Linked DNA regions of Coturnix japonica. The protein of the gene in region 2 interacts with the protein of the main gene of each other region in a biochemical or structural test. Links are inferred from orthologs where the notes say so. Each region holds a gene or a part of one and is shown on either strand. Other genes may lie near its edges.

Evidence for each region.
Region 1: the proteins of MIS18BP1 (region 2) and OIP5 form a complex in vitro, tested with the Homo sapiens proteins (2 studies listed by BioGRID). The link is inferred for Coturnix japonica from reciprocal best matches to the Homo sapiens genes MIS18BP1 and OIP5.

Annotation. Positions count from the first base shown.
Region 1 is NC_029520.1:21,981,905-21,985,651, forward strand, and holds the start of OIP5 (protein Mis18-beta), read right to left. Parts: upstream 2,656-3,747; 5' UTR 2,564-2,655; coding exon 2,290-2,563; intron 2,219-2,289; coding exon 2,152-2,218; intron 1,973-2,151; coding exon 1,850-1,972; intron 1,178-1,849; coding exon 1,096-1,177; intron 65-1,095; coding exon 1-64. Other genes in the region: NUSAP1 (nucleolar and spindle-associated protein 1), read left to right, coding at 2,801-3,001, 3,136-3,201. UniProt on the Homo sapiens protein: Required for recruitment of CENPA to centromeres and normal chromosome segregation during mitosis.
Region 2 is NC_029520.1:53,297,111-53,300,857, forward strand, and holds the start of MIS18BP1 (mis18-binding protein 1), read left to right. Parts: upstream 1-1,429; 5' UTR 1,430-1,458; coding exon 1,459-1,855; intron 1,856-3,176; coding exon 3,177-3,314; intron 3,315-3,747. UniProt on the Homo sapiens protein: Required for recruitment of CENPA to centromeres and normal chromosome segregation during mitosis.

The sequences.
Region 1 (3,747 bases), about 31 Mb from region 2:
GTTGTTCCACTTTCTTCATCAGCAAATCGACACGCACATGTGCATTCACAAGGTCTTCTTTCAGCTAAGAACAAAAAAAGAGATGGGAATTGTAAAATTAGAGGGCAAAAGTTCTGGGTGTTTAATGATACGCATCCCACTTTCGGTGGCTAAAGAGCAGATGACTTTCAGAACGGAAAACGATGCTGGACTGACTTTATGTTCTATGTCTAGAAAAGCCAAAACTAACCAAGACTCGAATCACAAACCTGTGCTAGAAAGAAATGAACGTGGGTCAGCATAACTAGTGTCAGAGATGCACTGAAACGCTCCACTTAGAGTTGCTGGAGCTTGGCTGTAATCAGGGCCATGTTTTCTAGTTACATGTTTTTACATAGCGAGATTTGGAGACTGTGACAGCATCGGTTTGGGACAACCCCTTAAAAATGCCATTTCTAGAGTCTGGGGTTGAAGTTAACACATGAAAAGCACCGTAGGCAAGATAGATCTTTTTATCTTCACATCTTAATGATGTATCTTTAAGATATATTTTAAAAAGCAAAGAATAGAGTCTAACACTTGCTCTGATCAATGCACAGCTTCTCTAAAACGCCACAACACATGTTTGCAATGAAGCACTTGTACTTTTACCTCAAAATAATCTATCTCAGCTTCAGGGGAACTTATGCCTGCATGGCATTTTTGTATTTTAGTGTCACTTCCCATATAAAAACACTGAAATCCATTTCAATCTAACAAATGTGTATATATTTTTTTAATTCTTCAACAGTGGCTTTTCAATTCCACGTAGCAATACACAACACAGGTAGCAATAGTTAGGAAAAGTTTCATTTAAAAAGGATTCTCTTTGTTTGTTTTGTTTTCAACATGTAGAGAAGTACCCTTCCCTCTTGGCAACATTTAGGTAGTTAAAAAGCCCCATACACATTCACTAAAGAAGAAAGTAAACAGCACACTTACGTCAGAAGATTAGCTAGAACTTGGTCTGTGTTGCAGATACAGTAATATTATGTTTCTGGCCAATTAAAAATACTTCAAATCAAGAAATATTAGTATTGCATGCTATTTTCATACAAAGTCACGTGGAAACCTTACTTTCTCCATTTGATCCTTTAAGGTCACAGCAGGAAATTTCACCTTAGAAGCTTCGATTATCATTTTGCTTTTTAAGAGATAACTGGAAAACAAGTGGGGAAAAACAAGAAAAACAGTTGCAAACAAGAAGTTGCACTCATTTAGACAGACTATTTAAGCTGATTTTAAAGCAGATAAAACTATTCCCTAAAGTTCTCCATAGAATAACATGTTTACTTCCAAATCATGAAGTCCTCTTGGTATCTGCTATTGAGGCACTGGCACAGGTTGCTCAGAGCTGAGGTGGATGTTCTGTCCCTGGAGACACTCCAGGTCAGGCTGGACCAGGCTCTGAGCACCCTGCTCTGGCTGTAGGTGTCCCTGTTAGGAGCAGGGGAGTTGGACTAGATGATGAGATGGCCTGTAAAGGCCCCTTCCAACTCAAACTATTCTGTGATTCTATAATCAGATCCATCTATCGCAGACTTGTTTTGATAGCTCACGTTAGTTAAGTGGACCTGGAACTGAAGGAGTCTCAGCACCGCAAATAGCTCAATTAAAACTTTGATGTAAGATAAGGAGACTCAAAAAGTACAAGGTAGATCAGATGGAATTATGACAACATAAAACAAGAACAGAACATTAACATCCCACAGTGATGCTCTGAGTCAGAAATAAAGCAGCTTTTGTTAGGTATGTTGGCTGTATTCAGCTGGAATAACTTGCAGCTTGCCATGAAGTCCCTGACCATCAGAAGCCAGGGCAGGGCACCTACCAGAAGATGCTGTCCTTGAAGAAACAGAAGAAGCCTCGGAGATAGGCCAGCTCTCTGAAGGCAGAATAAAGAACAATGCCCACAGCCGAGCCACACGACCGACAGGACAGTGTGTTGTACGTACTGAAAGGAAACACAAAACAATTATATTATTAAAAAAAAAGCTTCTGAAAGCACGGATACTGCTGCTCACTTGTCAGAGGGCACTGCATCGCTGCCTCTGTCAGGGCAGTAAAACACGTAAGACTGCAGTGCACTGTATAAGGGCATTCAACGTGCTGTATAAGGCTGTTGCTACGCACCATCCCGTCAGGGCTCCATCCAGTCCGACCAAGAGCGTCTCCTCGCACAGCACGTTGCCGGTGACTCCTGCGGACAGAGGATTAGCTCGTGTAGCAGCAGCGCGTGGCCCCATCCCCGCCCCGTCCCGCAGCACTGACTGAGGCACACGAGGAGCCCGAGGCGCTGCTCCTCCATGGCGCACAGATGCAGCGAGTCGCTCAGCACGGCCCAGCACCCGCGGCACTGGAACACGGCGGAATCCTCCGGCCGCAGCTCGCAACACCGCGGCGCCTCCGGAGCCGGAGCAGGTGGAGCCGGGGGAGGCTCAGGGGGGAGCGGCCGCTCCACCACGATCGTGCCGCGGATCTGCGGCTCCTCCAAGAACCGCTGCGGCTCCTCGAAGAAGCGCTGCAGGTGCCGCCTCACCGCCATCTCCGCCGCTGGAGCGCGTCTCCCGCCTCCTCCACCTCGCCATGAGGGCGCTGCTATTGGGCAGTAAAGCCGTCAATCCTCGCCTCGTTCTGCCGCCCAATCAAGAAGGAGAGGGCGAGAATTACGGCCCCGAGTTTCCGGGGCCAATCGCGCTTGAAAAACACAGCGCTGGGGGCTACGGCGGCCAGTGGGCGATCACAGTGCGGTTAATCCCGCCTCCCTCACCCGGCCAAACCAATGGCAGGACGCGGCGGGCCAGTTCGAACGGCGGGGGCGGGAGCGAGGAGCTGCGCGTCGGTTAAGCGCGAGATTCGAAGAGCGGCGGTTGGCGGAGCAGCGATGATGGCGCTGCCCTCACAGCTCCAGGCCTTGGACGCGCTCAAGTACGTGGAGCTGCAGCAGGTCGCCAAGGCTGCCGGCCTGAAGGCCAACCTCAGGGTGAGCGGGGGAACGAGGGGCTCACAAACGTCTGTGCGGGCTGGGGCTGGGTTTGGGATTGGGCAGCGTCCTGTTTGTTTGATGGCTCCGTGCAGCGTTTAGTTCATGTGCTGCTTTGCTTTCTTTCTCTGCAGGCAGATAAACTGCTGAAAGCGCTGAAGCAGCACTTCCAAGGAAGAGTGCAAGGAAATGAAAATACGGTAATAAATAATAAGGCAGCCCTTCTTTTTCAGAAAGAACACTTTGTTAAACTTTGTTACTTTGTTGTGCTCTACCGTTTACAAATATTGGTTTTTTAGCACGATGTTAATTGTAATAAAAGCACTTTTTTATAGTGCTTTTAGTTTAATGTGCTCACACGTTGATAGATATGTGAACGTTTGATACGCCCTCTTAAGCAACAGAAGGCATTAATTCTGCCTTAAATGTATCTGTTAGTATCAGTACAAAACTATTCCCTGTAAACACTAAGGTTTAAGTTCTGTACTAACTAAACCCCAAGTATTTTACATCTGCAATTCAGTTAAACTGGCATTATAACAAAAGCAAAAGAGAAAGCAGCAGAGAGACCTCATTGGAGCTTTACAGTATTCAAAGGGAGCTTATAAACATGAAGGAAATCAGCTTTTTACGTGGGTACATAGTGACAAGACAAGGAGGGAATGGTTGTGAACTAAAGGAAGGGAGATTTAGATTAGATGTTGGGGAAGATTTTTAACTGACAGTGATGAAGTGATGGAACGAGC
Region 2 (3,747 bases):
CCTCTCCCTTTGCTCACTGGGCTCTCAAAGCTTTCAGCCTTGCTTACAATGCCTGTGTGCGCCTTCTACTGGAGGAAATCACTGCAGCACTGCACACTCAGTTTCCATAAGGCGAGGAACTCCTCTCCCACATAAAAAGATTTCTGCATTCTGATGTGAGTTTGAACAATGTTCATTTACACACCTTCAGCACCAGCCCACATTAATACCCACTCCCAGGAAATGCACCTGTTCAGCTCTACAGCTGCAAGAAATCAGTGGGACTACTCAGATTCCTTGGCATACACTTACTGACCAGTAACACTAGAACACGAGGTGGGCTTCAGACCAACTGTTAAATGAGGTTCAGCAAGAGGACATCCAAGACCCTCCACCTGCCTGGCCATCTGGAGCAGGTGAGCGTGGCCCTCAGCTGAGCAGTGCCCTACCCTGCAGGACTTGTATAGCAGTGTTCAAATCTGATCTCTCTTAGTGGCATTTTCTGTGCATTTTCCATGTAGTTTTGGTACACTAAACAATCCCTCACACCTGCGCAGTACTTTAAACACAGCACTGATGGGACCATGCACGTAGGAGTGTGATTTGCAGGACGACTCCTTGCTCTTTTGGGTTTCATTGGCATCAAAACAGAGCAGAAGCTGTTACTTCACACAACCAAAGTAACTGTGGCCCAAAGCATTTAAAAGCACCAGATGTTTTACCCTCATTCCTGACCTTTGACACCTGAACACACAATCTGTTACTAGCTTTAATTGTTAAGACCCAACAAGGCTCAGACACAGCTGCCACCCTCCAGGTGTGACCTTGAGCTAAAGAACCTGCACTTTTAACCTCCAAACCCAACACTGGCCCTGCAGGACTCAGCTCTCCTCCTTACACAGCTGCTGCTCCACCTGTACGCAGCACCGGTAATCACTAAACTCAAAGGAAACCAATTCAAATATACTGTTTATTGTCAGCTGAAGTTCCCTGCAGGCAGCCAGGATGGCTTTTCTTTCCTCACACAATCAACCCCTCCTCTGCTCTAGGGTACAAAGAATCATCACACATCGACAGCAGCTCCGCTCCACACACCGCTACCCCAAAGCACCGCACCAGGAGCCAGCAGAGCCAACAGAGCAGCAGAGCTCCTCCTTTGTCGCCGCTCCCCGAGACCCGCAGCCCAAACAGCCGCAGCATTTCCCGTACGGAGCCCAGCCCGCCATCAGCCCGCCATCAGCCCGCCATCAGCCTAACACCACTCCGCCATTACCCCGCCCCGTAATGGCGCCCTGTTACCTCACTTCCGCTCCGTTCCGCCATTTCCTCTCCGCGCCCCGTGACGTCACGCCGCCCGGCGGCCAATCAGCGCGAGGCGATTCCAACTCAAATTTTGTGTGTCGCCGCGCGGGCCGGGCCGGTCCCACAGCGTGCCGGGACACAGGGCAGAGCGGGCACGGCCCGCAGCTCCGCACCGCCATGATCAGCAAACCCCGCCGCGGGGAGATGCCGTTCCAGGCGGTGGCGCTCAGCTCCATCCCCGCGGGCACGCTCACCCCGCTGAAGGACCTGCTCCGCTTCGGCCCCGCTCCGCGCCCCGTGCTGCAATCCACGATGCTGGAGGGCGGCCGGGAGCCGATGGGCATCGGCGACATCAGCGACATCCGCCCCGGGCCGCCGCCACCGAAACGCTGCGCGCGGGAGCAGCCCGAGCAACAGCTCGTCCAGCAGCTCGCCCAGCACAGCCCGGCTGCGGCATTCCTCAGGATGAAGATGAAGATCGAGGCGGACGGCACTGACCGAATCCTGACACCCGGCGGGGCCGGGCCGCGCCTTGCGGACGGGGGGAGGCGCAGGGACCAGCAGCACGAGAGAGGTCGGTAACCAACGTGTGCCCGGCCGGGGAGCGGGCAGCGCTACCTGCGGGCTGTAGGGAGCGTCTGCGGCGGGGGGATCGAAGCTGAAAGATGGGGTTGGGTGCGAGCTGAGGGCCGCCAGCATTACCCGGAGCCGGTGGTACAGGCGGTGATAGAGGTACCGGAGCTGCGGGTGCTCCTCTGTGGTGCCCGGACCGGGGGACACCGTCCCGCGCAGGGCTGGATGGTCTGTCAGGCCCCGCCCAACCCCACCGTGCTGAGGAACCGCGATCGGTTTGTTTCAATGTGTTCCCCCTGTTCTGTCTGCGAATGGGGCTGATCTGTTGCCATCTGTTCAGTCTGGAGAGTGACGCTGTGAGATAAACAGAAACAAATGAATAGCTTGTGCTGTTCTGACAGCTGAGAAACGAGGAGGGTTGGTGGCAGAGCTGCTTGGAAGCTGAAATACTTGGGAGGCACCTGCTGGGTGCCCGGCTCTGGTGCATCTGCAAAGTAGTATCCAGCTCCCAGCAGCTGCTGCAGTGCCGAGTTTGCAGATGAAGAACTCCACGACCAGGAACACCCACAGCTCCTCCAGCTGCTCAGAGCCCCGTCCAAGCTCTGACCCAGAGCAGTGCTGCAGTGTTAGGAATTGCTGCCTGCTGGCACAGAGCTGCCGTCCGTGCAGGCAGTAATGATGGTTGGCAGGGGAAGCTGTCCCATGGCAGAGCCCTGTTAGCCTCGTGTTTGGGCCGTTCTGAGTGGAAGAGCCACTGAAATACTGTCTGATTTATCAGCTTACAGTGCTTCATCTCTGTACACCTGCCTGAAGTGTACTACGTATAAATAATGACTTTTAAAGGCCTCTTCCAGCTCAAACAACTCTGTCATTCTAAATCTTACGTGTTGGCCATTTATCCAGTTAGTTAACTGAGAGTATTGCTATGGAGGTAGTAGTGCCCAGGCTTCATGGTTAGTTATTTTAAAAGCCTTTCTAAATCTCCTTGCTGCAACTTAAAGCCCCTCATTGCCTTCACTGTATCTGTTGGACATGATGAAAACAAGTAGCCTCTTATTTCTACAAAACCTGAACATTCTGAAACTTTCCTTTCTAACCCCAGCTTTCCAAAATGTGTGTTTCCATCCTGCCTCGTTTTATCTCATATCAATAATGATTTCTGACCGAGCCCTGTGTTCCTCTGGGGGGTACTACTGGGTAGACCTTAATAGTACAAAATAGATCCTGTTTGCATTCGGATCTTATGAAATGTGTCTTTTGCTTCTCTTCTTCCCGATGTTTTTCTTCCCCAGTTTCAACTGATTTTTGATCTGTTCTTTCAGAATTACCCCACGTTCAGATCCCCCAGAACCAGGCTGTGAAAATGCTGAGCATCGACCCGATCGTACTGGAATCTCCTCAGAAGTTCTTCTTGCGTATGAAGCAGAAATTGCAGCAGAGGCAGCAGCAGCAGCAGACAGGTACTCAATGTTGCTCTTAGAACCGCATCAAAAGCTTGCGGGACTTCAGGACGCCTTTCTTTCTTATAATTTCTTGTGTGCTATTGGCAGAATAGTGCAGGCTGTTGTTTGTCTTTGTAGTCTGTGCACGGAGGAAAGAGGTGCAAGAAACCTGCAGCTCTGCCTGTTCAGCCCTGGAGATGGCGTCAGACTTGCAGGCTGTAGGTCAGGATGCTGCCTTCGGGCATTGAAGCCTGACATCATTTGTCTGTTGTTTTTGTTTTTCCATTTGTACCTGTCTGATGTTCATTCAGACTCTGGTGTTGTGGTTAAGAACTCTTTATAAACCAGGTGTGACAGTTTGGCACTAGAATGGGAATTTGATGGAAATGTCCTAAACTTTTTGTTTGCTAAGTCTTTCCCCCACACTTTTGCTTTTAATACATAAAAAGGA